Lonchura striata: one gene and its partners. The protein of the gene in region 3 purifies or fractionates together with the protein of the main gene of each other region. This does not show direct contact. Links are inferred from orthologs where the notes say so. Each region holds a gene or a part of one and is shown on either strand. Other genes may lie near its edges.

The links. The genes of interacting proteins can lie anywhere in the genome.
Region 1: the proteins of RNF185 (region 3) and ERLIN1 purify together in Homo sapiens (affinity purification with mass spectrometry; 3 studies listed by BioGRID and IntAct, with this or other methods). This does not show direct contact. The link is inferred for Lonchura striata from reciprocal best matches to the Homo sapiens genes RNF185 and ERLIN1.
Region 2: the proteins of RNF185 (region 3) and BRI3BP purify together in Homo sapiens (affinity purification with mass spectrometry; 3 studies listed by BioGRID and IntAct, with this or other methods). This does not show direct contact. The link is inferred for Lonchura striata from reciprocal best matches to the Homo sapiens genes RNF185 and BRI3BP.
Region 4: the proteins of RNF185 (region 3) and TMUB1 purify together in Homo sapiens (affinity purification with mass spectrometry; 5 studies listed by BioGRID and IntAct, with this or other methods). This does not show direct contact. The link is inferred for Lonchura striata from reciprocal best matches to the Homo sapiens genes RNF185 and TMUB1.

Annotation. Positions count from the first base shown.
Region 1 is NC_134609.1:37,328,523-37,335,553, reverse strand, and holds the start of ERLIN1 (erlin-1), read right to left. Parts: upstream 3,020-7,031; 5' UTR 2,966-3,019; intron 2,080-2,965; 5' UTR 2,044-2,079; coding exon 1,931-2,043; intron 1,167-1,930; coding exon 1,085-1,166; intron 736-1,084; coding exon 689-735; intron 1-688. Other genes in the region: CHUK (inhibitor of nuclear factor kappa-B kinase subunit alpha), read right to left, coding at 3,827-4,142, 4,705-4,844, 5,174-5,321, 5,776-5,872, 5,991-6,040. UniProt on the Homo sapiens protein: Component of the ERLIN1/ERLIN2 complex which mediates the endoplasmic reticulum-associated degradation (ERAD) of inositol 1,4,5-trisphosphate receptors (IP3Rs).
Region 2 is NC_134620.1:13,693,595-13,701,176, reverse strand, and holds the start of BRI3BP (BRI3-binding protein), read left to right. Parts: upstream 1-4,563; 5' UTR 4,564-4,589; coding exon 4,590-4,793; intron 4,794-5,654; coding exon 5,655-5,757; intron 5,758-6,406; coding exon 6,407-6,825; 3' UTR 6,826-7,582. UniProt on the Homo sapiens protein: Involved in tumorigenesis and may function by stabilizing p53/TP53.
Region 3 is NC_134620.1:4,592,528-4,599,591, reverse strand, and holds the start of RNF185 (E3 ubiquitin-protein ligase RNF185), read left to right. Parts: upstream 1-4,058; 5' UTR 4,059-4,165; intron 4,166-4,265; exon of another isoform or gene 4,266-4,354; intron 4,355-7,064. Other genes in the region: C18H12orf43 (protein CUSTOS), read right to left, coding at 171-525, 912-1,002, 1,328-1,401, 2,007-2,106, 2,360-2,407, 2,793-3,057. UniProt on the Homo sapiens protein: E3 ubiquitin-protein ligase that regulates selective mitochondrial autophagy by mediating 'Lys-63'-linked polyubiquitination of BNIP1.
Region 4 is NC_134603.1:156,868,766-156,875,718, forward strand, and holds TMUB1 (transmembrane and ubiquitin-like domain-containing protein 1), read right to left. Parts: upstream 2,406-6,953; 5' UTR 2,360-2,405; coding exon 1,980-2,359; intron 1,508-1,979; coding exon 1,153-1,507; 3' UTR 520-1,152; downstream 1-519. UniProt on the Homo sapiens protein: Involved in sterol-regulated ubiquitination and degradation of HMG-CoA reductase HMGCR. Involved in positive regulation of AMPA-selective glutamate receptor GRIA2 recycling to the cell surface.

The DNA.
Region 1 (7,031 bases), on a different chromosome or scaffold from region 3:
GATCAAAATTAACTCTGTTTTATTAACATTGCCACTAAAATTCACCTTTTAATTTCAATGTGGTCACTGTGTGCCACCACTGATTTAATTTTTTGAACAGAAATTTTGTTGAGGACCCTGAACATAAAAGACAAGGAGAATCACTGGGTTTTTTTTTACCCTGAAGAGTCATCACTTTAACTTGTGGACGAACCAGCACAACAGGATCTGTAACCCAACTCAACCAGCCCTCTCCTCCTGCTTGCTACAACTCCAGCAGGTCTGTGCTGACAGAAGAATCAGCCTGACTATCCAGCAGGAATTTCATTTGGAAATGAACTCCTTCCCATCAGGAGGATTCCCACTCCCTGTTTCCTTCTGCCTGCTGCTGGGGTCAGCACCTGTATCAGCCACAGGACTCAGAGTGGAAATGACCAGTCTGAGGGCAGAGCAAAGCACAAGTAAGGGAGTGTCAGAGAACTGAGGGGAGAAGCCCAGAAAAATTCAAGATAACATCACAATAAATGCAAACATGCTCTGAACAGCTCCAGCAAGAGTCAGTGCTCCCTCCTGTTGTTACAGAGGGATAAATGTGTGTACATCTGGGATTAATTCTATGGCAGGTGCCTTTCCTTCCCGATCCCTGTGTCCCAGCACTGCAAAGGACCCCAAGGAGTGCATCTAGAAGAAATACAAGTGGAAGCCATACCTTGTCCCACAAGGCACATTCTTCACTTCATCAGTCTGCAGCGTGGTCTGCAACACAAACACAGGCACTGTTCACAAACCTGACTCCAGGAAGGCCCAGACTCCCACAGTGGCACCACAGAGCCAAAAGCATGTCCTTTGCCACCCCTGTGATGCCTGCAGGTGTGGGCAGAAGGCAAAGCTTCTCCTCCCCTGCCTTTTGGGGGATGCACAGGCAGCTGTGCCTGTTTCCCTGCTCTGGAATGCGGTGCTGCAGGGGAACAGTGACAGCCACAGACATGGACTGTCCTGCCTGAGCAGGACACTGCCACTCCCAGCGGTGTCACACACACACACGGTGGGGAGAGCTTTCCAAGGGGACAAGTGTGGCTCCCCAGGGCAGGGAGAGGGCACCGACCTGCACGGATTTGAAGGTGGTGATGAACGGGAGCATGATGTGGTAGCCAGGGCCGCTCGGGCTGGTCAGCAACGCTCCACCCCTGAGGAGAGGGAGGAAAACAGGCTCAGGAAGGTGCAAACAGCAAGGGCTGCCTTTGAGAACATGCAGGGACAGCTCGAACTGCCAGGGGTCACAGAGAGTTGCATCAGTGCCCTAAATTCGCCAGCAATTCCACAGAAAAAGGGCTGAGTGCACCTGATCTTTGCCTGCTGCAACTTTGCGTAAAGCCTGCGAGCCATTAACTCTTGGAGCAGGCAGCTATTGCCAAACCCTCCCAACATTGCAACACTGCACAGAGCTGCAAGAACACAGACTTCTCCTCTCTAAATAGTTCAGTGGTAACCATGGAAAAATCCAGCCATGGATGTGATGCTGCCAGCTTGGATTTCGGCACAGCCCCTCGCCCAGAGAAAAGCCCCCTGGGGTGTTAATGCTGAACACCATTGTGGTCAAAGGAAAACATCCACGGTGCTGAGCAGGAAGGGCAGGGAAAGCATTCCAAAGCAGCGACACAGCAGGAGCTCTGGCTGGGCGACTGCTTGGGACAAAGGTGACAACTCTTGCTGGCACAGAGGGAGATCAACAGATGCGAGGAGGGACGCGGAGAAGCTCTGAGATCAGTGTGAGAGGGCAGGGAGGAAGGAGGGGCAGGAGAAGCAGCCGAGGGCTCAGCCAGCCCAGCACACGCGGGCTCTGCACGGGGCGAAGGGAGCAGAAGCAGCACGGGTGCAAACCCTGGGGGAGAACCGGAGGGAGCCCAGGGCAGAGCGACCCGGGGCGCCGAGCTCCGGAAGGGCTCCGTACCTGTAGTACACGGCCAGGTGTCCCTCCTCGACGCGGTGGATGGCGGAGTAGAGCAGGAAGACGAGGAGCCCGCTGGCAGCCGCGGCCGCCGCCCCGGCCTGGGCCATGGCCATGCTCGCATCCCCTCCCGGCGCCGGGCTCCGCGGGCCCTGCCCGGCACGGAGCGGCGTCAGCGCCGGGCCCGGCACCGCCCGGCACCGGGACACGCCCGCACACACGGGACAGGGACGGGACAGGGCCCGCGGGGACTGCCCCGGCACCGCCCGGCCCCGTCCCCGTGCTCTCCATCCCGCCCGTATCCCTACCCTGTACCTGCCCCTACTCCATAACGACCCCAATCCCTGTCTCAGACCCGTTCCTTTACCCCAATTCTTGTCCCATCCCTGTCCCACAGCCCTCCCAATCCTTTATCCCAGTCCCTGTCCTGTTCCTGTCCCTATCATCTCAATCCCAATCCCTGTCCCTACCCTTTACCCTAATCTCTGTCCCGTTCCTTCGTCCCAATCCGTTTCCTTTATCCCAACCCCTGTCCTGCTTTTATCGCAATCTTTTACCCCGATCCCTGTCCCGTACCTGTTCCTGTAGCCCAATCCCTGTCCTGTTCCTTTATCCCGATCCCTGTCCCGTACATTTACCCCTATCCCTGCTGTCCCGTATCTGCCCTGTTCCTTTACCCCGTTCCCCCGCTCCCCGTTATCCCGTACCTGTCCCGTTCCCTGTTATCCCATTCCCCCGTACCTGTCCCGGGCCTTTACCCGCTCCCCGTTACCCTATACCTGTCCCGTTTCTTTACCCCGATCCCGTTGCCCCGTTCCCCGTTATCCCGTACCTTTACCCGTTCCCCGTTATCCCGTACCTTCACCCCGTTATTCCGTACCTTTACCCGTTCCCCGTTATCCCGTACCTTTACCCGCTCCCCGTTATCCCGTACCTTTACCCGTTCCCCGTTATCCCGTACCTTCACCCCGTTATTCCGTACCTTTACCCGTTCCCCGTTATCCCGTACCTTTACCCCGTTATACCGTTATCCCGTACCTTCACCCCGTGCCCCACGTGCCGCCGAGGCCGCGCTCCCAGCCCCTCCGCGCACGCGCGCTGGCGCGCGGCACTCTGGGCGCGCCGGGCCGGCGCGGGGTGATGACGCCACCGACCCCCCCCCTCCCCCTCCCCAGTTGCCAGGCAACGGCGCGATGGCGAGTAGGCCTCGGCCTGTCAGCTCCGAGTTTATTCATTCTATATACACGCACTATACATTCATGGGTCACACCGCCCCCCGCCCTCAGGAGGCTCCACGGGCCGGGCCCAGGCCGCTGCCTGGGGGACAGCCGGTGGGTGACACGGTGATAGCAGTAACACACTGGTGATGGCCATAAAACACCAGGGATGGCCATAAAACACCGGCGATGGCCATAAAACACCGGCGATGGCCATAAAACACCGCCATGTCCCACAGGGAAGGCGGCCCTCAGCACACAGAAGGCACTTGGGTGATGCAGCACCGCAGCTCCTGGGGTTACTTCAGCCAGCTCCAGTCGAAACTCTGCGAAGAGGAGCAAAAACACGACTGAGCGCAGGGTCTGGATACTGGATGTGTGTCTTGCTTGGCGAAAAATCAGTGACTGCCGTGAGAAAGGATGCTCTCAGCACAATGCAGCACAGCACAGGAGCCCTGTGAGCCCACTCTAGTTTGGGAGATCTCGGGATTCCCAAAGGATGAGTGCCTCCTCTCTCCTCTGAGCAAAGAGAGAGCTGGGATGGCTCAGCCTGGAGAAGTTCCAGGGTGACCTCACTGTGGCCTTGCAGTGCCTGAAGGGGCTACAGGAAAGAAGAGACTATTTCCAAGGGCCTGGAGTGCCAGGACAAGGGGGAATGGCTTCACACTGCCAGAGGGCAGGGCTAGGTGGGATTTTGGGAAGAGACATGTATCCATGCACACTGGCACAGGGTGCCAGAGAACCTGTGGCTCTCCCTGAATCCCTGGAAGTGTCCAAAGCCAGGCTGGATGGGGCTTGGAGCAACCTGGTACCTTTTCCTATTCAAGGATTTCTCCACATGCCCAGGGCACCCCTGGGTGTCCCCTGAGAGCCAAGTCCTGGCAGATGCCCCAGCACTTACCATCATGCTGTTCTGCTCCTGCCTCACCTCCTGCAGAATGCTGCTGAAGAGCTCGAGGTAATTCAAATTCTCCCGGATCACGTCAGCAAAATTTTCCCTGCAGGAAGGGAAAAAAGCCCCAAGGTGATGGATTTCAAGCAGCACCAAAAGTAACACCCCCATCAAAAGGTGCTGCACTGATGGAAAAAAAAAAAAAAAAAAAAAAAAAGAAAAGAAAAAGGAAAACAAACAACCCAAAAAAGTTATTTGTAGTTTGTGCAGTGGTAGGTGACATAAAAACCTGCCTGGAGGTGGCAGGACAAAGGAGAATGGTTTCACACTGATAGAACATAATTAGAATTGTTAATGAAGCAAAGAGCAAAACCCCTCAGCGCCACAGAACTCAGCATAGACTGAGGGAGAGGAGCCTTAAGAACCAGATCCAGCCCCAAGGAAGAGCAACATGACATGCAATAAACGGATGCACAGTCCTTCAGCAGGGCATGTACCATGTGGAACTAGCTCAGAAACAGCAGAGATTTCTGAATAGAGAGTTCAACCAAATCCCTGATTTTTTAGAGCGTTAGTGACATACACACTCCTGAAACCACTGTGGGAAGGACAAAGCCCCTGAGATGCTGAGTTCCCTGCAGTGGCTGCTCCCCAGCAGCAGCTCATACCCATCTTCAGGAGCTGCCAGCGAGGACAGAGGGTGAGGAGCAGTGTTCCCTGAGGAGCTCTGGGGGAGCCATGTGGCTGCTGGACTTGAGGCTGTCCCTTCCAGGCTAGAGCTCACCAGGGATCGGGAGGAGCTCTGAGTCTGCAAGAAAGACATTCAGAAGAATTTAGGCTTCAATGATATATAGGGAAGATTTGGGATTGCACCTGAGCACTGCTGGTAACACACACAGAGATGTGGGAACCACGAGGTGGCTTCAGGCACTGTAATTAATGCAAAAAAAGGGAACTCTTAAACACTTCAAACTAACCAGGAAAGCACCTATTTAACTTCTGCTTTTACCATCTCAGACTGCCCTTCTCTACAGGAAAAAAAAAATCCAACCATGGTGTGGCAGTTACCCCTTTTTGCTGAGTTTACTTCCCGGCTCAGGCACTGCAAGAAGTGCAAACAACCCAACAGCTACTCACACAAGCAATTTTCAGCAAATGCCAGATCTCCCTTTGTCTTTTTCCCTGCATCTGCATCACTGAGTTGTCAGCTTCCTTGATGTTATTCAGAGCCACCTCAATCTCGGGGAGCAGGTCAATGATCTTCTGCTTGCAGCCCAAGAGCTTGCTGGAATGAAAAGCAGACACAAAATCACTTCCCAGCACATTTTAACAAAACCAAAAGGATCTTGGGATCCAAGATACTTGAAAAATTCATGTACAAATCACTGCGTTATCTTCTCTGTAACACTACTGCTTTTTTTTTTTTTTCCTTTGAATTTGAAGGAACTTTTTTTCCTTTGAATTTTGCAGGAATTTTAATTTTTTTTTTCCTTTGAAGATTTGTATTCCAACTTCCAACTGGCAGAATTTGCCTCATTTTAAAGTGAACTCTTGGATGCTAACAATGTTTTTAAAAATGAAGTGGAAACTCAACACAAAGGAGCAGAATTAAAGCTATGAGAAATGTGAATGGAGCCTTTTGGGTTCTGACCTCCATGGTTTTCCCTATCCTTTCTGACGACAAAGCTACAAATGCTGCAAGTTGGATTTGTTTGGGGTTTTTTGTCTGCATAAAGTACCTGAGGTGGCCAAAGAGCTCCTTGAGGACTCGGTCCTGGCTCTGCACTGTCTGCACAATGATCTTCACCATGTCTGTGCTGTCACTGTAGGCATGATCTGCAAGGGCCAGCAACCACCACATTAGTAAATCCTAACAGTATTGCCTGGGTTTCAGTTCAGAACAATTAATCATGGGGTAAAAGTGTGAAAGTCTTTAAATCATCTTCTTCCATACCTGGAGGTCGTGTTTTTAATTGCTTGTACAGGTCTATGGCTCTCTGCTCCCTTTAAAAAGAAGAATATGATTCAGGCAGGTGTCGGCAGCCAGCTGACTCAGGAGAAAAAGCACTGCAGTGAAGGGATGCCTTTTGGAACTCAGACACTGGACCTTCTCCTACAGTGGGCCACAAGCATGGCCTTTGGAACACAGGGATCCCTTTCTGTGATGGAATCCAACACTTTCCCCAAAGCTGTCTCTCTTTTTCTCCAGCTGTGCAATTTCTTCTCAGAAAACCACACCAAGCGGAGCTTATTTTCAGTTTCAATTCTTCCCATGGCTTAGCTGTGATTCCTTTCCCCTTCATTATCTGATTTAATTTTTGAAACTCTGACTGTACAACTGCCTGAGAAGTTCTTGTTCCTGCTCTGCATTTTTTGCCTGAATTTTAGTGATATTTTGTAAATGGAAAGAGACAGCTGCATCACAAGCAAGACGACCGTGCTTCTCTTCTTCCCATTAAATAAACATTACTTCTTTCAAGCATTTCAAAAAGTCACACTGAAAACTTCCAGCCTTGAACAAAATCCTCCCTGTTCTAAATCCCAGTCTGTCAGAAACAAGCAGCAGCTTCCCAGCCCTGATCCTGGTGGAACTGCAGCAGTGGAATTGCTTAAAAATAATGTTTAAGGAGGCACAATCCTGGTTAGTTTGAGCAGCTGCTGCAGGAGGTGGCTTCTCCTTTGCACCACTTCCTCCCCTGTGCACCAGTTCTGCTGCAACTACACAGGATGAAAAGCAACTTTGCAAAGAGGGAGGGGGGAGAACATACCAGGAGCAGGCACATTTCCTCCCTGAACAGTCAGAGCTGTTCTGAAGAGCTCTTATTGACAGGTTTAATGGCTGTTCAATCCTTTTCTTTTAGAACTGCCACTTGTGCTCTCAGTAGCAGCCCAGTAACTGCTTCCTATCTCTCCTCAAGATCAAAAATACCATTTAGCTCTTTCGTATTTTAATACTTAAAAAAAAAAATCAACTTTCCAAATATCCAAGTACCCA
Region 2 (7,582 bases), about 9.1 Mb from region 3:
CAGGATGGAGGTGTGTGGGCATAGAGGAAAACCTCTGCTGAGGCTGACCTCTTTGTTGCACACCCAGCGCCGACCCCGGGCTCGGCACTGTTCTTTCCTTATGGCTAGATAGAATTTGATTGCAAAATGAATATTTTAATTATTTTTTATTTTAATTTGGCTGGACAAATTTTCATTTATAGCACAGCCGTCCGCGCTCTGACCCCGCCGCCGCCGCCCCTCAGGGCCGGGCGGGCCCGCGCTGCGGACGGATCCCGCGCGGGGCACGGCGGCCCCGACGCCGCCGCACCTGATTGGCTGCGGCGCGCCTGGCCCCACATCAGCCCAGAGCCCGCGCTCCTCGCGGCTGGCCCGGCGGGGGAAGAGCCGGCGCCAGCACCGACCAATCGGCGCAGAGGTTTCTTAAGCCCCTCTGCCTGCCGACCAATGAGCGGCCGGAGCAGCGGGAGGTGTGCCCAATCGGAGGAGCGCTCTCATGGCGCTGGGCGGTTGGGGCCGGGGTCGCTGCGCGGCTCCCCTCAGCGCTGAGGCGGTGCCGGAATTGCCCGTTTTAGGATAAAAAACTCAGTCCCTGAATCAATTGGGCTGGGAAAGACGTCTGAGGTCATCGATTCCAACCTCTGACTCAACACCACCCTGTCAATCACACCACGGCAGCCTCGTGCAACCTTTCCTGAACCCCTCCGGGGCCGCTCATTCCCCCACCTTCCCCAGCCGCTGTTCCAATGTCTCAAACATCCTTTCTGCCAAGTGTTTCCTCCTAAAAGCAGCAGCAAAAACGCCGCTTTCTCCTACCCAAAGCAAATGAGCAGCTAAATCACCTGGAAAGGGACACAAAAATCCTCTCGCTGAGCTGAAAAAGGTGTCATTTAGAAAGGACTGACCCAGTTACAGCTCAGGGAGGAAGGGGGATGATGGATTTGCTGTTAAAACTGGGCTTTTAGGAAAAATATCTAAAGATTTTGAATTTTTTTTTTTTTTTAAGTCCTGCATACAGAACATCAGCCAGCTGGTTAATGAGTCTGGATAAGAATAAGAAATTCCTGGCTCATTTGATGTTCATGATCTCTGCAAGCTCTATATGGTGTCAGGAGTACAAGTAACCAGAATCAAAATCAAAGCTGAAAATTGTGTAATTTAGAAAGGACTGACCCGGTTACAGCTCGGGCAGGAAGGGGGATGATGGATTTGCTCTTAAAACTGGGCTTTTAGGAAACACTGATAGCACTTTTCCCCTTATTAGCAGCAGTTTTACTATCATGTCCTTCAAATGGGATTATGCATCCATGTTCCCTGCCTTAATTCCAGTTTTCCCTTATCCACACCAGTTTTTCCCTCTTTCAAAAGTGATTTTTAAAAAATCAAGTAAAAGAAGGAAAATTAAACAAACCTATAATGAGAAAATAGGCATTAACAGGACTGCAGTGACCATTGCAATTAGTTTGGAGACTAGATTAGGATAGCCAGAGGAAAATAGCCTCAATAAGATTAACTGGAATTGTCCATTTCCAAATCTTTTTAAGCCTTGCCTTATGCCTTCTAATAGTAATAAAAGGGTAGAAATGAAATAATGTTTTCAGATTAGATTAGGGGCTGTTCAAAAGATGCTTCAGAGCTGGTGGGCAGCAATAATGCTGCTGATGGCACTACCCTGCTGTGGGCTCGGAGGTAACCTGGAGTCACCTGCAAGACTAAACTGACTGATGAAATGCCAGAATCTATCAGATAAAAGTTTTGTAATAATACCTCAGGGCAATCTCTGCAATATGCCAAGGCCTGACCATGATCCCTTGAACCAACTGGATTAAGATATCTAAAGATTTTTGATTTTTTTTTTAAATCCTGCATACAGAGCATCAGCCAGCTGGTTAATGAGTCTGGATAAGAATAAGAAATTCCTGGCTCATTTGATGTTCATGATCTCTGCAAGCTCTATATGGTGTCAGAAGTACAAGTAACCAGAATCAAAATCAAAGGTGTTTGGAGAAAGGGAAAAATAAATAAAAGGGAAAGGGAAAAGGAAAAGGGAAAAGGAAAAAGGAAAATGAAAAAGGAAAAAGGGAAAACGGAAAAAGGAAAAGGGAAAAAGGAAAAGGGAAAAAAAGAAAAGAAACATTGACACATTGCAAGAAAAACCTCATGGAGAGGACATTAAGGAAAAAAGGCCTAAAATGACAAATGGTCATAAAGAGATCAGCTATGACAGGTAGAGGCTGTGAAATGAAGCAAAGACAGAAATAGAAGGGTCAGTGAGGTTAAGAACAGCTGGCTTTCTTTAAGGCCACACTTTTTTGAGTATAATGATGAAAAATAAAAAGAGATCTGCTAAAACTCATACCCATAGAAGGCCCCAATTTTTTCTAAACACTACTCAAATTGTTGTTAAATCCCTTTCTCTTGAGTAAGACAACTAACCACAGTTTTTAGTGCAGATGAAGAAATAGAGAAGCACACTCATGTCTCCTCTGTACAGTGAGACCCTCACCAGAGGACCTTTCTAGAAACCTTCCAGCTCTCCTCATTAAGAAGTTGAGTGTGGCTGAGATTTGTGTTTCATGCCATGATGCAATGGATTATTTGAGCAGACACTGTTTGGTTTATTTAAAAGAGCAGGGTGAAATACCATGTAATTTCATAAGAGCTGGGTATTTGGAGAGATAAACACACCTGAAATGGCCTCGTTGAGACAGGTCAGGATATCAATGAAATACCAGGAAATTTCCCAAATTGTCCTGACCTCATGCAAAGGGCAGCCACTACCACAGGCCTCTGGAACTCTGTGAAGAACAGATGGGAAGAAACAACAGACACTTTGGAGAAAGGATTTTGAAGGGATTCCACCATGGACATTCACACAGAGAAATAGGAATGTTCCCAAATTTGCACAAATAACCCGTTGAACCATAAGCAGCACAAGGGAAGGCCATGCCAACTTGAAGCAAATCAAAGTATTATACCAGGCACAGAAAGCAACACTCATGACAGCTAATTATCATCAGGTTTTTTTTGTATCATGAGACTCTTAACATGCAAGAAATGCCCCAGAAGCTGACATTTAGTGTGTGCTCAGAGCACAATGTGGAATTGAGGGCAGATAACCAGAAACCTCATAAGAACCTCCAAAATACCTCCAAAAATCAGCTACCAACCTGTTCTGGAAGAGCATGAGGCTTCAGACTGTACACAGGTATCAACAGATCAGCAAAACTTAAATGAAAGCAGCCTTTATTAATATATAAAGCATCTATATCCTGCTGAAATCGAATCCTAAGTACCTTCCTGGATGTGGGCCCATTACTTTCCAGGGCCAAATAGAAAACAATGCTGAGATGTCTGGGCTGTTCTGCTAAATGTGAAAATAAGCGCTTTGGCCAGAATAAAACTGGGGAAAAGGCCAGAGCAGAGATGTCTATATTCTAAATGTCTACTCAGCTACCAGTCCTAGGCTGAGCCACACGGCTTAAACATCAAGAACATGGAGTATAAAATCAGCTGCCACAGTCTCTCCTCCTAAGAGACGGTCCAAACTCCAAATCATCTTTGTGGCCTCTGCTGGACCCTGTCCAGCAGCTCCTTATCTCTCCCACACTCAGCAGCCCCGAGCTGGGCATGATGCCTTGAGAAGGCTGATCTAGAACAGAGACTAGACGGAGTTACAGAACAAAGCAGGGATTTATTAAAAGGATCTCCTCCATGGATCCACCTTGGGCAGCACAACTGCACCCAAAAATGGTCATAAAAAAGACGACTGGTGGGTCAGGGGGAGTTTCACACTTTTATAAGTTCTGCTCCATTTGCAACCTTGGGCAGCACAAGACCCCACCAGGGCTACACCCAAAAATGGTCACAATAAAGACGAGTGGTCAGAGGGGGTCTCACACTTTTGTAAATTCTGCTCCATTTGCGTGTTGGAGTTAATCATCCAGTTGCAGCGTGTTGCCTTCAGGGGAAGGCAAGGTGACCTTGTTGCAATCGGGCCAACAACACACGCTAATACCAATGCGGTGGACGGTCGAAAGGCCTTTATTATCTCATCTCATGGGTTTAAATAGTCTTGGGGGACTTTGCTACGTCAGGGGGGGTTAGTAGGGTCTCTAGGGTTAGTAAGGAGTGGAAAACTACTGGGTTAGGTGTGGTTACGTGTTGCAGGGTGAGGGGGGAAGAGTTTTTCTTTCCATCACATCTCGAAATCTTCCGTTCGCCTGTCCCTGTCTATTACAGTAGAGTTAGCTCATGAAGTCCCATCCTTCTCGTTTTTCTCTCTTCAGTCCATGTTGCTTATGCTCTTGGGGCTGAGATTTGGATCATTTATCGTTGCTAGCTAGAGAAGGAATTGCTTTATCTGCAGAACAGAGCTTACAAACACGAAGCTCAGAACTTCAAAGCAGCACAGAACCTGAAGACGAGCAGCGCTGCACCCCGACGCCCAGGCACAGCGCTGCGGACGCGGCTCGACCAGCGGAGCAGAGCCCCGTCCCGCGTTTCCCGGGGCCCCGTCTCCCGTCACTTCCTCGCCGCGCCGCCCCCCGGACCCGCCCGCGCGGGGCCGCTGCGGCCGGCGGGCGGCGCTGCTGCGGCGGGGGGCGGCCATGGCGGCGGCGCGGCGGGTGCAGCTCCGAGCGCTGCTGCTGCTGCTGCTGCTGCTGCTGCTGCTGGGCGCGGCGGGGCCCGGCGCCCGGGCGGCGCGGAGCCGCGGGGCCGACCGCCAGAACAGCCTGCGCCGCGCCGCCAGCGGCCTCTACCAGGGCGTCAGCGGCCTCTTCGGCGAGGACAACGTGCGGGCCCTGCAGAAGGTGAGCTTGCTGCTCGCCTCTCTCCTCCCCGGCCGGCTTGCCGAGCGTCTCCTCCCTCCCCAGCGCTGCTGCGGCGCTGGAGCGGCCGCGGCCTCGTCCCGGCGCGCAGCGCTGCTGCGGGCAGGGAAGCGGGAGGCCAGGCGTGCAGCAAACGGGGGGAAATTGCGGCTAAACGCTGAAGTGTAGGTGGTGCGAGTGGGGAGACGCGCAGGGCCGCCCGCTGGCCGGCTGAAATCCCGGCTGTCTGCAGCATCCTGTGCTGGGGGCATCGGAGCTCGCAGGGAGGCAGGCGAGGGAGGCCAGGCGTGCAGCGAGCTGCGGGGAAATAGCGGCTAAACGCTCGAATGTAGGGGGTGTGAGGTGGGGAGACGGGCAGGCCGGCTGAAATCCCGGCTGTCTGCAGCATCCTGTGCTCGTGGGGCATGGGAGCCGTGCGTTCCTCCGTGCCTGCTTTCCTCAGGCAGCAATAAATGCTGTTGGATTGACCTCTGAGTACACCTGAGACTGCTGGGGACATCTCTCAGTTGCTCGATAAAACTAATTCTTTGGTTTGCTTTACTAGTTGTTGGTCATAGTGTTTTCTCTAATCTTCAAAACGATAGTAAAGCCAATAAAGTGCATTTTTAAATCTTGCCAACGTATACATTTACATTCCAAAATACCTACAGTAATGATAATTGCAGCGCATAAATTCATGATTCACGGAGCTAAAAAAATTTCAGATTTACCATTTTTACTGTGGGGACTACGAAATAATCTGCAATTCTTGCTTAATTAATTATAATTCTACTCATGGCAAATAAGTCTCAAAGTATTATTTAGGAATTGAGGATTTTTTTAATTTTCAATTTTATTTCTCAGTTTTTCTCAAGGTTGACAGAGAGGTTTGTGAATGGGGTGGATGTATTAATGGACACATTCTGGAGAATATGGACTGATTTGTTAGATGTTCTTGGAATTGATGGTAAGTGTGATGCCTGTTCACCCTTGAACTGTCTCAGCCTGTATCAGTGTTTACAAGCGAATGGGAAAACAGTTACATTTTATCATGCTGCTTAAACATCCATCAGTGGTGTCTCTGCTTCACATGGCTTTGATTTTCCTATTAGTATCTTCAAACAAGAAGACTGAACCCCACCATTCCATTTCTGTATGTGTATCTACAGGATGTGTAAAGAATGAATTACCAGTCACGGCTGGTTCCTTGGTGTCATCATTAAATGGATTCACACAGCCAGGAACAGTGCAGGGAAATCAATGAGGACCAGAGAAAAGAAAAATGCAGTTGAGAGCCTTTAGAATGTAGCTTTGACAAAGCAGGATCTGCAGCCCCAGTATGAATTTTGACCTCAGGCTCTACAGTGGTTTGTCTTTAAAGAGCCTTTAGCACCTTTGCTGGATTGAATTCAGTTGAATCGCTGGAGCTGAGCCAGTGGTTTGAAGAAGGTTCATCCAGAACTAGGTGAACCAGCTTTACCCTTTACTTTAGAAAACACAGCCGTGACCCCACTGCTGTGGGGATTTGACCCTTTGGAGCTGTGCTCATGTGTTTGCCCCGTGCCACCTTCGGCCCACGCTCATTAACACCCTGCACATTTCCCTTTGTTTTTCAGCCTCCAACTTGACTCATTATTTCAGCCCAGCAGCGATTGCCAACAACCCGACCCGCGCCCTCCTGCTGATCGGTGCCATTTTACTGGCCTACTGGTTTTTATCTCTTTTCCTTGGATTCTTCTTCTATCTGCTGCACATGCTGTTTGGCCGCTTCTTCTGGATCGCCAGGGTGGCCCTGTTCACCCTGTCCTGTGTGTACATCCTGCAGAAGTACGAGGGCGACCCGGAGCACGCCGTGCTGCCCCTCTGCTTCGTCGTGGCCGTCTACTTCATGACGGGGCCGGTTGGGTTTTATTGGAGAAGAAACAGCAACAGCAGCCTGGAGGAGAAGATGGATCACCTGGATAGTCAGATCAGACTGCTGAACATCCGCCTTTCCAGGGTGATCGAGAACCTGGACAGGGGCAGCGAGCAGTGAACCCGCCCCTGCTGACCACTCTGCACCAGCTCTGGAAAAATCCTAAGCACTGTCTCATCCGAAGTTACAAAGCAACAAAACATCACATGGTAAAAAGTGTGCGAAGTTATAACTTTTCATCATGTCTAAGACTTAATTTATCTAGGTTAAACACTCAGCCGTTAGACTTCTAGGAGAAAGAAAAAACCATTTACAAAATTCAGCTGTATATTCAGAGTTTTATCCAGTACTAGAATTTTCTCAGTAGATAAACGCTTACTTTTACAAGCATTTAAAAACATCTTTTGTAAAGTTTTTATAAAAGCAAATTGAGTAGTCTTTCAGATATTGAAATTGAGTTAAACATATGCAAATTTGACACTAACAGTTAAAAAGAAAAAAAAAAATCTCAAGCTACCAAGCACTTCCATTGAGAAGTAACTGCTGTGGGTCCATATTTTTTCTTCAGAGTTGTGAATGTTTTTGTGTTTTTGTTGGCTTATTCCATTGCCTTGAAGTTGCCTTTCATAGAGTATCAGATGAGGAATTTTCTGGTATCCAGGCCAAAAAATTCACACCATAGCTTTTAACAGGAGGTGGGGAATGAGGGAGAAGGAAGATCTGAAGTCCTTAAATGCCAGTCCAATGTGAGGAAGCACACGTGTGGCATTTTATCATCGCGTTTCATCCCGAGAACTTTAATTTGTTAGTGTCTGGAAGGAAATCTGCTTTAATAAATTGGCACAGAAGGAAGATGTAGTGTGACAAATTGTAATTC
Region 3 (7,064 bases):
GGGACGCCAGTAGCACAGGAAGTCACTTAATTAGTCTCTCAGGCCACTGAGCTTTTAGAACAGATGCTTTGCCAATTAATTTTCCCTCATCTGCAGCAACTCTTGTTGTTAGGTTTTCTTTCAGTTTCCTTCACCCATCACAACCACCTGCTGTTTGCAGAGCAAAATCATCATTCTTTTTTCTTCTTCTTTTTCTTCTTCACAGCTCCTGGCAGCACAGAGTTCTCTCTGTGATGGCTGTTCTGTCTCTCCTGCTGGCCATTTGCAGACACCAACCGAGGCAAATCTTTGCAGATCTGGTCACACTCTGCTGGGTCTATTATTTTCTCTTGAATATTATTGTCTCTCCTCATTTTCTTCTTCTTCTTCTTCTTCTTCTTTTTCTGATTGGGTTCCACATAACTCTGACTCTGATCCTGGCTGGAGCCCTGGGACCATGCAGGGAAAGCACTTTGCTTCAGAATATCTGCAGCTGACACGGCAGCCTCCTGGCACCTTTGCCATTCTTGCTCACTGTCTGTGTCACTGGAAAGGCAACAAGAGGGAAGGAATTTGTATTGTATTTTTTCCTTGAATTCACCCAGAACTTGAACAGCAGAATAATCTGAGATGAGAACACACGATAAACACCCAGTGGCTCTGAGACTCCCACACCTACAGTTTGCATTTAACCAGTCTGAAGGCCAGTGTGCTCTTTACACACACTAGGAGGAGAAAGAAAATCTCCCACAAACGTTTCTCATTCTCCAGCACTAAAAAAGTAACAAAATTCTGGTCTAGTCAAATATAGGAGTCATAAATGCACACTTCTCAAGCTCTTCAGCTTCCTATTCCCTTGTGGGAGTCTCAGCTGCCTCTGAAATGTGGGATGCAACAGTACCTGAGGAGCAAAGCAGCTGCCAGCACCTCACCTGGAGCTAACTGGCCTCCTCCTCCTTGCTGCAGGGCAAGGCTCCGGCTTCCCACAGTCTCCAGGGACAGAGGAAGAAAAGAGGCGGAAACCTGAAGTATGGAAAGAGGGGTTTTAGGCAAAATATAAAACAGAGGTGGAATCAATCAACTGCTCTTTTCCTGGAAGCCTCAGTGCTGTTTCTGTATTTCCACAGTGCTTGACAGCAAATATTTGGGACTGTGTGGGAGGACCTGGGGCACAGAGGTCAGAACTGAAAAGGAGCAGCTCTCATAGACACCACCAGAAGTTCTTTCAGTTCAGAGCAAATGTTTATGAGACACTGGGATGCACTGTCCTGGTGATGGACAGGATCCACCCCACCTGTCAGCAGCCAACAGTCACAAAACAGATACAAAGGCTGAGACTGGAACTCACCATCATCTTCAGAGTCAGACTGTGCCAACCAAGTCTGTGATGGTCCTGATGAATCCTTCAAGACAGTGATGACACTAAACAGAAAATCCCAGTCAGATCTCAGACAGGTTTGTGCACACTGAGCTACAGGTGGGTATTTCTGGGAAAGAAGATTAGAGGGAGATGTTGCACAGATCCTTTTTTGTTAGTGAGGCTGCCTCAGCTCCCTGTTTCCAGAGCAGACCAGGCCTTCTCTCCTCAGCAATGAGGAAGAGAAGAACAGTTTGAAAACAGTGTTTCTGAAGCCAGCTCTGAACAGCAGGAATTCCAGTTCCTCAGGGCCATCCTTGCCTAATAGACAGAGGGGCAGCCCAGTATCATTCTGCCAGCACAGCCCTGATTCAGGGACTGGTGGAGGTTGTGAGAACAAGATTCTCTCGCCAGCCTTTACAGGATGGACGTCTCTTTTTCTCCGCACAAGATGTTCACCACAGAGGCAAATGAAGACACCCAGTGCTGCACAGAGAGTTTTGACTAGATGGGCACAACACATCAGCAAGGTTAGGTCACAGAATACTGGAAGTTTGTACTTAATACAGGCATGAAGGAGACAAGATGTTGACTTTCCCGTGTTTAGCACACAAACACGTCAGTGTAACTGACCCACAGAACACAGGTTTCAAGCCTTGCACACCAGTACCTGTCTAGCATGGTTCCCAGTTTCTTTGCAACGTGTGCTCTGAACTCTGGAGTCGTCTGGAGCTCATTGTCACCCTCCTCACGGCCGATTGCCTCACGCCCGTTTGAAATAAGAACAAGGATTATCTCTTTCGAGGCCAATAATATCTGTCCCTCTCACCCAAAGCCTTAAAAACATATTATCCTGTACAAATTTAAGCATAATTTCAGATTATGGTTGGACTAATTCCCCAAACAGAAACTTCCCCTTTCAGTACGAAGTATCATAAGGTACAAAGCAGAAGCAGCAAAAATATTGCACATAAATTTTTTCTTAATGGAAACATTAAGTCTGAAACCAGAAGCAAAAATACCTCAAGCTTGGCTGATCTTTAGGCTGCAACCGATCCTTTCTAAAGCCCCCTGAAAGGAAAGCAGCAAAGCACACTTAGAGACTTGCCAGAACTTCCTTAACCCCCGTCAGGCACATGTCAGAGCATAAAAACAATGCCTGAAAGACAGCCCTGGGCCGCCTTCGGGGGAGAACAGTTATGAGGGGAAAGGGGAACTCCCCTCAGGCCAGGACTGCCGGGAGGGGGCTCTGGGCCGGGCTGGAGGCCGGACATGGCTCGGGAGGGTCGGGCAGAGCCCCCTCGCTTCTGACACCGGCAGCGCGGCACAGAGGAATCCCCACGGGTCAGAAGTTGCGGAGGGGGCCGGACCGGAGCGGCGGGGCGGGGCGGGGAAGAGAGAGGAGGGCACGCCGCAGCGCGGGGAGCAGAGCCCAGTCTGTCCCCCGCCCTCTCACCGCCGCACGGCTCCGCCCGCGCCGCCGCCAGCGCGGTGCAGTCCCAGGCAGCCTCCCGGAACCGCGCGGCCGCTTCGCCGCCGCTGTCCGAGTCCGAGCCGGTGTCGCTGTCCGGGCCCGAGACGCCCCTGGGCGCCGCCATCTTGCAGGCGCGGGGCACGCTGGGCGCTGTGGTACGGCCGCAGCGCGTGCCGGGAGCTGTAGTCCGGCCGCAGCGCATGCCGGGAGCTGTAGTCCAACACCGTCCCTCGTACCCGACTTTCATAAACTGATCCTTGTTTTAATCAGCTTTTGGAGGATCCGGTTCATGTCTGTGGGGCCCTGGTAACGTTCTAATCAGTTACTACACTGACATGAAAGTTTTTGCTGGGGCATAGAAGCTGTGCCAAGCTGTGCTGGTGGAAAACGAGAGAGTGGCTTTGCTGGAGATTTTCACCGCTCTGCAGGTAGGAAGGACTGCTTTGTGTGCTCCTCATGCCATCAGCGCTGTCACGTTAAGTGCTACATTTTCAAGTCATCTTGAAATTTTCTGGTGTGAGACAATGTGTTTGGTGACTCCAGGTGGGCTTCTGGATAACCATTTTGCTGTGGGTTTTGCCAAGCCTGTGTGCAGGAAAGCAGCAGAAAGATTTCGTATAACTGTTTTTATCCTGGTGGACACTTCCCGGCTTGCACCTTCCAACCTCCACGCCAGAACTCTGCACTCTCAGGCTGCCTGGCAGCAGACAGGTCACTGCCAATATCCTTGGGCTCTTTCTGATGGGTTCCCTTGGCACTAACTTCCCTTAATTTCTTCACTATTCCCTAATAAAACTCACCTGCTATAGTGGAATACCTTGGTTTAGGATTTACCCGTTCTCCACCATGTAAAGAACAAGCAATTTTGGGCTGTTTTGTACCTTGGAGTTCCCAGGACTGGTGGGGTGCCCTCAGAGCTGGGACAAACCCTCCAGAAATGCCTTCTCGGGCAGGTCACCTCCTCTCCCTCGCTTTGGTCCCTCTGGTTCTTTGGTTTCTCACAACTGTATACATACCTTTATCAATCTCTAAATACCTTTATCCAGCTCTCTGTTTCCGTTTCCATCCTGGAGATTCTCAGCTCAGATTCTTTCCATCCTGAATCCGCTTCTCGGCTCAGACTCTTAGCACTCTACACTCCTAAGTCAACACTTCGTTTCCCTCAAACTTACGTCCTTCCCTTTCCGTCCTTTTCTTTCCTCCCTTCCTGCTTGGGCCGAGCTTTCTCGGCGCGCTCCTGGCAGTGCCCGGCGCCGCCGTTCGGAGCGGCCCCGCCCCTCCCCGGGCAGCAGAGCCGCCCACGCCCGCAGGACCGGGGGTCGCGGCGGGGCCGAGCGCGGGCGGGGCTGCCCGAGGTAACGGGGCCGGGGGCCGGGGGCCGCGAGGGGCGGCGGGGCGGGGGCCGGGCCCTTCCGCCGGCCGCGCTTCCGGGCGGTCAGGTGACGGGCCCGGCGGAGGGCGGCTCGGTTCGGCTCGGCTCGGCGCGGCTCGGCGCGGCTCGGCTCGGCTCGGCTCGGCGCGGCGCGGCGCGGCGGGAGCCGCCGGTGAGCAGGGCCGGGCAGGGCCGGGCCGGGCGCGGTGGGGGGAGCCGGGGCCGCGGCTCCGGGGCCGGGCCGGGCCGGGCGCTGCGAGGCCGGAGCCGTCCCCGCCGCGGAGCGCCGGCCTCGCCCGGTGCCCTGGAAGCGCGGCCGGCGGGCCCGGGCGAGTCCCGAGCTCCGCGGCTTTGCGGGGCTCCGCAGGTGCCGGCGCCGAGCGGGGCCCGACCCGCCGCCCGCAGCGAGGGATGGCTCGGGCACGGCTCGGGCACGGCTCGGGCACGGCTCGGGTACGGCTCGGGTACGGCTCGGGGCACGGCTCGGGCACGGCTCGGGGCACGGCTCGGGCACGGCTCGGCCACGGCTCGGGCACGGCTCGGGCACGGCTCGGGTACGGCTCGGGGTGTCAGCTGCTGCGGCGGGACACCGGATATATTTTGAGAATTGCTCGTACATTAAGACTCGCTTGTTACTTCTTAAATCACGTCTGTTGTATGTAAAAACTGCTGTGTTTGATATTTTTACGTTTTGCTGCTAACCTGGGTTAGCCAAGCACGTCTCTCACACGGCACTGCAAACCAGGAAAACGCTGGGGCAGCATTACCCAACTGGTTATATTCCTTTTTTTTTTTTTTTTTTCCCCCTTTGGACTTTGTGAGGTAAGAGGATAAAATCTTTGTTGAAAGATTTTTCTTGGAGTCTATATTAAACCTTTATGGAACGGATAACAAAAAAGCAGTTACTTGAATCATCCGAGGGTTTTTGCTGTTTGCATTTACAAGGTACATGGACTCCTCGGTGTTCCCAAAAGAGCCCTTCAGCCTGGCAGCACTGACTGTAACACAGATGTGCATTGCAGAATCCCAGTTCATGAAACGAGGCCAGCAAGGGCACGTTGGACTGGAAGGCAAATGGCTGCTTTTGCAAGAGCAAGTGATCACAAGTGAATTCATGTTTTGGGACCACTTTGTGGTGATATTAAAATGCAGGTGCCCAATACGGGTTGCCGGAAGTGGAGAGATGAAACTTGAGAAATGTTTCCAAGGAGTTAAAATGTAACATGTTTGGGGGATAGAAAAGAGTAAAAAGGTAGTGAGAGATAAATATGTATTTAATGATTAACAACAGGACACTCATTCGTTTGTTAAAAATATCTAAAATGACTGTCAAGAAGTCAGTGCACTTTCTTCTAGGCACTGTCAGCAATTTTCAGCTAAGGTTACCTGGTTGTACTTGAAGCCCAGGCAATTGTAATATGTTAAGTTTCAGATTGTTGTTAAATTTATGAGTGGGCATATTTATATAAACTCTCAGTAGTAGTTTTAGATTTAAATTTATTTTCTAATTTGAATTTTCCTTTTGTAAAATTTTTCAGTGTCAGAAAATGACACTATTACCTTAGGGATAAGAAAAATACACTGACAAATCTTTTTGATTTAAACTGCAAAAGGTTCAGGAACTAAATCAGAACTTGTTTCATAAACAAACTAGATTTAGATTATTTAAATTTCAGTAATCTTAGTTAAAATAAAATTTATTAGGAAAGAAATATGGAAAAGGGTCTTTCCTGTGGAATTGACATCCAACAGTGCTGCTCTTTTTATTTCATTGTTATGGCAAAGAGGAACAAACTTTGGGTTTTGTTAATAAACTAGCCAGACTTCTATATTCTCACCAGAACTTTTTCTCATTTTTTCATGAAAAAAAATAAATACTTGAGACATCCTCATGTCATGCTGTGAACACGTATTCCAGGACTGTTTTCTATAGGTGAAATTAGCTTCTAATTTATAGTCCCTCTTTGCCTTTCTCAGGTTGAATTAACATTGAATTAATGCTGTTTCCAGCAGGTTTTTTTGTGTGTACCTTAACTTATGGTGAAAACTCCCCTAGCCTGTCTTGAAGTGTTTTTCGTGTGTTTTGAGGGCTAGGCAGTGTACTTTGGCAAATGCAGTCATTTGCTGAGTTCAGAAGTGTGATCTTTGACAGTAGCCACTCAGCTCGTGCTTTCCTGGTGTACAGTAGATTTACAGATGAAGTTTTTAAAATATTAGGGGAAAATTTCTTTCTGACTGAGATCCATACCCAGCCCATGGACATGCCCAGTCCCCTGCACTTACTCCTGTCGTGGACCTCCTGTGCTCTCAGCTGTCACCACACGTTCAGGTCCTTCTGGAGTTCCACCCTCTCATGTACCTCCACTTCCATGTCTTCATGCTCCACCAGGTTTCTGTATTTATTTAGGAAGCCTACTTGCAGATGAGTTCCTTGTTTCTTAACTGTTCCTCTGCTGCCACTCTTGATTCTTGGTAGTAAACGTCAGTCATTTTTCAGAAGAACCTGTTGGGGTATAACATAGGGATTGTGGTTTAAAGGAAATAAACAGCTAATCTAGATGGCTTTTATGAAACAAAGATAATGTTTTCCTGTAAATATGTAGAGAGCAAAGAAGTAAGAAAGAGAAAAGGCAAGATCTCAGAATGCCTGCAGTTAGGTATCAGCTGATTTTTATATCCTTTCCCTTGTTTTGTTTGTTGCTCATCATGCCTCCAGGGTTGATTTGGAGACCTGATCTGATGGATAAGTTTGTAGCAAACCTGCAAACCTTGACTGGCATCCCTCAATTGTGTTTACTTAACCCCAGAAGTCATATTCTATCTCAGTGTACTCAGTCTTCCTCCCAAACTCTAAAGCAAATTGAGAATGGGGTTCATTTGGC
Region 4 (6,953 bases), on a different chromosome or scaffold from region 3:
GCTCGGCCCCGCGGTGCCGGGACCTCCCGCCTGCCCGGTGTCCCCCGCCCCTCTCCCGGGCATACCCCGACCTCCACCGGCACCAAGCCCGCCCGGGTCCCCCCGGCGGCACTCCCTGCCCACCCCACGCGGCCCGGCCGTACATGGCGCTGGCGGCCGCTCGCTCCCGCCGCCACCGCCGCCGCTCAGCGCCGCCGGGGCACGGGCACGGCCCGGGAGCGCAGCCCCGCCGCCATCTTCCCGCGGCCCCGCCCCGCGCGCGGCGCTTCCGGGGCGGGGCCGGCGCGCGCCGCATGCAAATCAGCGCCGCACCTCCGCCAATCAGCGAGAGCTCCGCTGAGAGCGGGGCGGAGCCACCGGCGCAGGCGCGCTACGGCCCTGCGGAGCGCGTGGCGGGAGGAGCCAGGCCCCGCCCCTCCCGTTGCCCCGCCCCCGCCCCGTTCCCGGTCTCACGCCGCCGCTGCCGCTGCCGCCGCATCCCCGACCCGCGGCGCAGCACAGCCAGGACGCCACGGCCGGTCACAGTCTTTCCGCTTTAATCGGAACGGCGGTGGGGGGTGGGACCCCCCAACACAGCATGGGAACCCCCGGGACAGTGGGAGTGCAGCCACCCCCGGCACCGGGACCGCTTGGGGGCACGAATTCTCCCCCGGTACAGGCACCTTAGGAGCGTATCCCGCCGGCACCAGGACCCTCGGCACCCCAGGGTTCATGTCCCTCCCCGGGCACCGGAACCCCCGGGAGCAGCCCCAGGGAGGGGCCAGGCCGTATTCCCAGGAAAAGCTCCGCGGGCACGGCCAGCAGCTCGGGCAGGACCGCACCCGAGGGGCTTCTGCACGCCAAGTGCATGGGGGGATGCTGCCAGCAGGGACGGAGGCACTGGGAGCCCCCGAGGTAGCTGAGCCCCCACTCCCACACAGCCCCTGTGTGCAGACAAGGTGTGGGTGCCTGCTCGGGACTCCGGGGCCCCCGGGGGACACAGTCCAGGGCCCAGCGCTCCTCTTCAGCCGCAGTGGGCAGGCCCCACGTGCCCCCGATACGCTGAGGGGGCTGGATGCAGAGTCCTCCACGTCCCTGGTGGCTCGGGCAGGCTCTGAGGTTCCCAGGTGCGGCTCCAGGTCCCACGTGTCCCCAGTGCTGGTCCGGGCCGCGCTATCTGCGGTACATGGCGAAGGCCACGAAGGTGACAAGCAGGGTGAGGCCGGCCAGGCAGGTGGTGGCGGTGGCGGTGAAGACGTGTCGGTGCTGCAGCTGCAGGTACCAGAGCAGGGCCAGCAGCAGCACGAAGAGGGGCAGCGCCAGGCTGCCCACGCCCAGTGCGGCGGGCGCGGGGCTGCGGGGACCGGGGGTGCCGGGAGCCGTGGGGGCCGCGCTGGGTGGGGACAGGTGGCAGTGCAGGACGCTCAGGTGGCCCAGGTGCAGCCCTGCCAGGCTCTGGGCATCGTCACGCAGCAGCTGCCCCTGGTAGATCAACCGCACCTGCTGCTCCTGCCCCGGGAAGTAGGTCCTGGAGGAGACGGGGACAGCAGTCACACTGCTGACAGGACTGACCCCCATCCTGTGCCCACTGTGAGCCCTCACGCCACCCGTGCCCAGCTGAGCCTGTGTGTCCCGGTCAGCCACCCCAAGTGTCATCCACATCCTATGAACGTGCCCACCCTGAGCCCCCACCCTGCCCCGCACGCCTGACCCCGCACGCTTGTGCCCGCCCAGCTGCCACCTGCCAGGACAGTCCCTCTGTTCACCCCCTGCCAACGCACCCACCACGGTCCTCCAGCCCTGCCCTGCCCGCACACCCGGGCGTGCGTGTGCCCATCAGCCAGCCCAGGCGTCCCTGCCAGCACGGGCTGTCCCACGGCCCCGCCGCCCGGGCACGGGCCGCTTGTCCCGGGCCAGCGCTGTCCTCGCCAGGGGCTGCGGGGAGGGCAGGGACGCCCGGCGGGGCCCGGGACCGGCCGCCCCGGCCCGCACGCCCTCACCTCTTGAGCGTACCGACGGTGTCCCCGGGGCGCACCCGCGCCAAGCGCTCCGTGTCGTTCAGGAACTTGAGCCGCAGCACCAGCGTGGGCTCGGCGGGGCCCTCGGCGGTGCCCGCGGGAGCGCTCCGGTGCCGCGGCCCCGCCGCCTCATCGGAGGCCGCCGCTGCTTCGGCCGGGGCCGGGGCCGGGGCCGGGCTCGGGGCCGGGGCCGGGGCCGAGGCCTTGCGCTCGGCGGGGGCCGTGCTCGGGGCCGCCTCAGCCGCCGGCGCCGCGGGCTCGGGGGCGCGCGTGGAGGCCCAGGCGAGCCCCAGCACGGCGGCCGCCAGCAGCAGCGCGAACAGCACCGTCACCTCATCGCCGACGCCCTCGATGAGCGCCATGGCGGTGGCAGGCGCGGGGGTCGCACCGGGAGAGGGCACCGGGCGGGCGCGGCCTCAGCCCGCGGGGCCGCGGGGAACCGGGGCCGCGGCCGCACCGGGCCGGGCTCGGGCCGCCATCGCGCCGCTTCCGGCCAGGCGCGGGGGGCCATGGGACGTGTAGTCCTGGCGGCAGGAGCCGTGGCGGGGTGGGGCGGCGCGCGGAGCACGCCGGGAGCTGTAGTCCCGTCCCGGCGCCAGGCACGCCCGGTGTACTCCCGGTTACTGCCGGCGCACCGGCATTCTCGGTGCGATCCCAGCCCCTCCGACACTCCCGGCGTTATTGCAGTAACCTGCAGGGTGTTCCCACACAGTTCCAGTGTGGTCACAGTTTTACCCAGCATGGGCCCAGCTGCTCCAAATACCATCCCAGTTGCTGCCAGCATGGGTTCAGTCACTCCTGGTGTAATTCTAATTAACCCAGTTAACCCCAGTGTGATGCCATTTGTCCCCAGTGTAGTTCCAGTTGCTAGCAGTCACCCCCAGTATGGCTCCAGTCACTCCCAGATACTCTAGATACTTCCTGGTTTAAATTCCTGTGCGTGTGTCACTTGGGGACAAGGGCAGTGGTGGCCAGGGCCATGCTGAGGGTGGGCAAGCTCAGGCATCTCTGAGAGTTCTACCCTCAGTGATTCTGGAGCTGTGAATCTCCAGGAGTGACCAAAGCTACCTGCAGGCTCTTATTAAAATCTTTTATATTAGGTGAAACATTCTTAATTTTAGGTTAAAAATTGTTAATTTTAGGTGAAAATGTCTTATTTTTTTGCTAGAAATTATTCATTTTAGGCGAAAGATTCTTAATTTTAAGTGAAAAGTTCTTGGTTTTATGTCAACAAGTCTTACTTTTAGGTGAAGAGGTCCATCCACGGAAATACTGCAACAGGGATGGGGGAGATGGGAACAAAATGATTCTCCCATACAGGACCATTGTGGATGGAAGGAAAATTCTGGACAACAATGTCCCCTGTTCCCAGAATGTCCCCTCTATGGGTCTCTCACTGGTGTGGCACTGACATTTCCTGGGATAAGATCACGAGGATTTTATCCTCCATATTATTTGTCCTGGGAAAAAATCAGGGTGAAATCAGGATAAAACCGGGAGGCATCAGCGTGCCAGGGCAGCCCCTTCCTGCTGAGGGTACGTGGGGTTGAGAGCCTCCGGGAGAGGAGTCACGGTTTCCGTGCTGGGATTCTGGGTGGGAAGGAGGGGCTGCAGGGCAGGATCCCCGAGAGAGGCAAAGCCCGAGGAGGGGCTGCAGGGGAAGATCCCCAAGAGAGGCAAAGCCCGAGGAGGGGCTGCAGGGCAGGATCCCCCAGAGAGGCAAAGCCCGAGGAGGGGCTGCAGGGTAGGATCCCTGAGAGAGGCAAAGCCCGAGGAGGGGCTGCAGGGCAGGATCCCTGAGAGAGGCAAAGCCCATCTGGGCCAGAGCTGCCCAGCAGATCCCAGCGCTGTCGGGGCAGTGGATGTGGCACAGCAGCAGATCTGAACCGTGGCTGATCCGTGCAGGCACAGAACCGGGATTTACCCTTCCCGACAGTGGAATGAGCCTGAATCCACTGCTGCAGGGGTTGTGTCTGCTCAGATTTGAGGGTTTATCCAGCGGTTCATCCCCTCCCAGATAATCCCAGTGTCTGGTTGTCACTGTGGATTTGTCTGCCTTCAGCTCCCAGAGAGTGAGACTTTTCCATCCTCCCTGTCTCGATTAAGAAGCTGTTTAATATTCCCCTGAAAGCTCTTCCCAGTCACCTTCAGTTCCCAGGAAAGCGGAGCGGACTGTGCTCCTCAGCTCTGCAGCCCGGAGCCAGGCAGCGTTTGTGTTGCCGTGCCCAGGGCTGCTCTGGGTCCCTTGGAGTTTTGATGCTCTCCTGAAGGAGCGGTGAGCTGAAGCCATGGCCAGTCCCGGGGGTGGGAACGCCCTGCCCTGCCCTGCCCGGGCTCTGTGGGCGGCAGAGGGGTGGTCAGCAGGGTGGGGACCCCCGCAGTGGCACCCAAAGGTGTCCCAGCCCCTTCCTGCAGTTCTGCCGTGCTGTGACGGTGGCTCTGCCCTCCCAGGGCACAGCGGAACCCGGCAGTGCCCGGCCCCTGGGCTGGCACTGCTGCGACCCGAGAAACACCCTGAGGGGCTGGAGTGTGTCCAGGGACTGGAGCTGGGAAGGGGCTGGAACCCCAGGAGGGGCTGAGGGAGCTGGGCAGGGCCTCAGCCTGGAGCAAAGGGGGATCAGGGGGGACCTTGTGGCTCTGCACAGCTCCTGACAGGAGGGGACAGCCGGGGGGGTCGGGCTTTGCGCCAGGGAACAGGGACAGGGCAAGTGGAAACAGCTTCAAGTTGTGCCAGGGGAGGTTTTGGATATTGGGGAAAATATTTTCATGAGAAGGGCTGCCCCACTGTGTTTCTGCCAGCGTTCATGGTCCCCTCATTCTGGTTACTCTTCATTCACCATTTCACCTTTCCTCAGTGTTTCTCCGCGTTTCTGCCCCCATGACTGGGCTGAGCCCCCCTCCTGTCCCTCAGGCCTTGCTGGGATTGCTGGCCCTGAGCTCTGGTCAGGACCTCCACCGTGCCCAGGGGGGTTTAATCCACCTTGTTCCATTTTCAGCCTCTTTCCCAGAGCCCACATATTCAGAGTCCAGCTGCTCTGGGGCTGTGGCCAGAGAGGGGTCACAGAGGGATTCTGCCCCAGTGGGGCACTGGGGACACCGGGACACCACCCTAGACATGGGTGTCCACCCTGTGGTGTCCCTGGCTCGCGCGGAGGCAGCGCTGGAGAGGGTCCCGGGGCCCTGGAGAGTCAGGCGGACACCTGGAGTGGGACAGGTCCCAGCTGCCCCCAACATCCACGCGCTGGCCTGCGGCATCGCGGGGGTGGCAGAGAGCCGCGGTCCCGGCGGGTCACGCTGCGGGGCCGGCAGCCGCGCCGCGTCCCGGCACAGCGCGGGGCCGTGGGCTCCGCGTGGGACCCGCCGGAGCCGCAGCGAGCGCGGCAGCCGCCGAGCGGCGGGAGCCGGGGCGCGCCGCACAGCGCTGCTGCGGGTCTGGGTGGCACCAGCGGCACCCCCGTGCTGCAGAGCGAGATTAGAGAGCCGCAGCTATTCCGGGGAAAGCTGCTGCCTGAGCCGCCGCCCGGAGAGAGCTGTCCCTGCCACTGCAGGGCGACGTGAACACCTCTCTCCCGCAGGCAGTGCTGCCGCGCAGCAAAGCGCCGATGTGTTCGGAACAGGAGCCGCAGCTCTGCTGGGTGCACCGGAGGACAGCAGCCCGAGCTCCCGGAGACGGACGGAGTTTCCTACTCCCCTTAGTCTGGGGGAGAGGAGCAGGGTCCCCAGCCGGGTCCCCAACTGTGCTCTCAGCTCTCACAACAGACATGTCCCCACAGAAAGAAAGCCCCGGTTTTTATTGCAAGACTGATCCAACACCTCCGTGTCTCAGCGCTCTGAGGAGCCACAAAGCCCTGGAGAGCCCCCGGGCCTCCTCTCTGCCCATTTTGCTCGGGCAATGACTGAAGCTCAGCTCTGCGCCTTGGCCCCCCCTCAGCTCTGTTCTGGGGGTGCTGCTCTCCAGCCCCGCGTCCTGGGTGGACATTGGGGGTCTGCTGTGGGGACCCTCCTGCTGCCCCACATGGGCCTGGCACTGTCTGGTGTCACGGAATGGTTTGGGTGGGATGGGCCCTTCACAGCCATCCTGCTCCACCCCACTGCCATGGGCACCACAGGTACCAGGGTCTGGGGCTGGGAGCAGCAGCACGAAAAGGAGGGGGAGGAAGAGGAGGAGGAGGTAGTGAAGGAGGTGGCAGCTCCTCTTGGCAGCGGTGCCGGTTTGAGGCACTCACGAAGTGCAGCCTCAGATGGAAGGGCTGCAGATGGAGCAGAGAAAGTTCAGGATCTGAGCTGAAATCCATCCTGAAAAGCAGTTCACATCTTCAAGTGGCCCGTGTCTGCAGAAGGCAGGTGGTTGCCCATGCCTGAGGGAATGTCTGCTCCTGAAAGCCTCGGCTTGTCCCCACCCGCTCCTGCCTTTTCAGCAGATTGGACTCATCTCCTGGGTTTTCCCATCCCTTTGCTAAGCCCCAGTTCCATCTGTTTGCTCTGCTCCCTCTGCACCTCTGCGATGCTCCAGGCTCCAGTTCCCCTGTACTGGTCCCGGGGCTGACTGGGGTTCCTGCTCCACAGGGGCTGGCAGGGACAGGGCCCATCAGCACAGGCCTGGGCTGGGCAATGCTCCATCCCACGTCTGCCCGTGCCTCAGCCCTGCCCTGTGCCCTGGGTCCTGTGTCCTATGCCCTGTGCCACGTGCCCTGGGTCCTGTGCCCTGTACACTGTGCCCTGGGTCCTGTGTCTCAGCTCTGTGCCCTGTGCCCTGTGTTCTGTGCCCTGTGTCTCAGCCCTGTGTCCTGTTCCCTGTGCCCTGTGGCTCAGTCCAGCGCCATGTCCTGTGCCCAGTGCCCCGTGCCCTGCTGGCTGCTGGGAGGCGCAGGGACCGTGGGGTCTGTGCGGGGGGTGCTGGTGGCCCAAGGAGAGCTGAGCTGTCAGCTCAGGGTGGCCTGAGCCGTGGGGATGAGC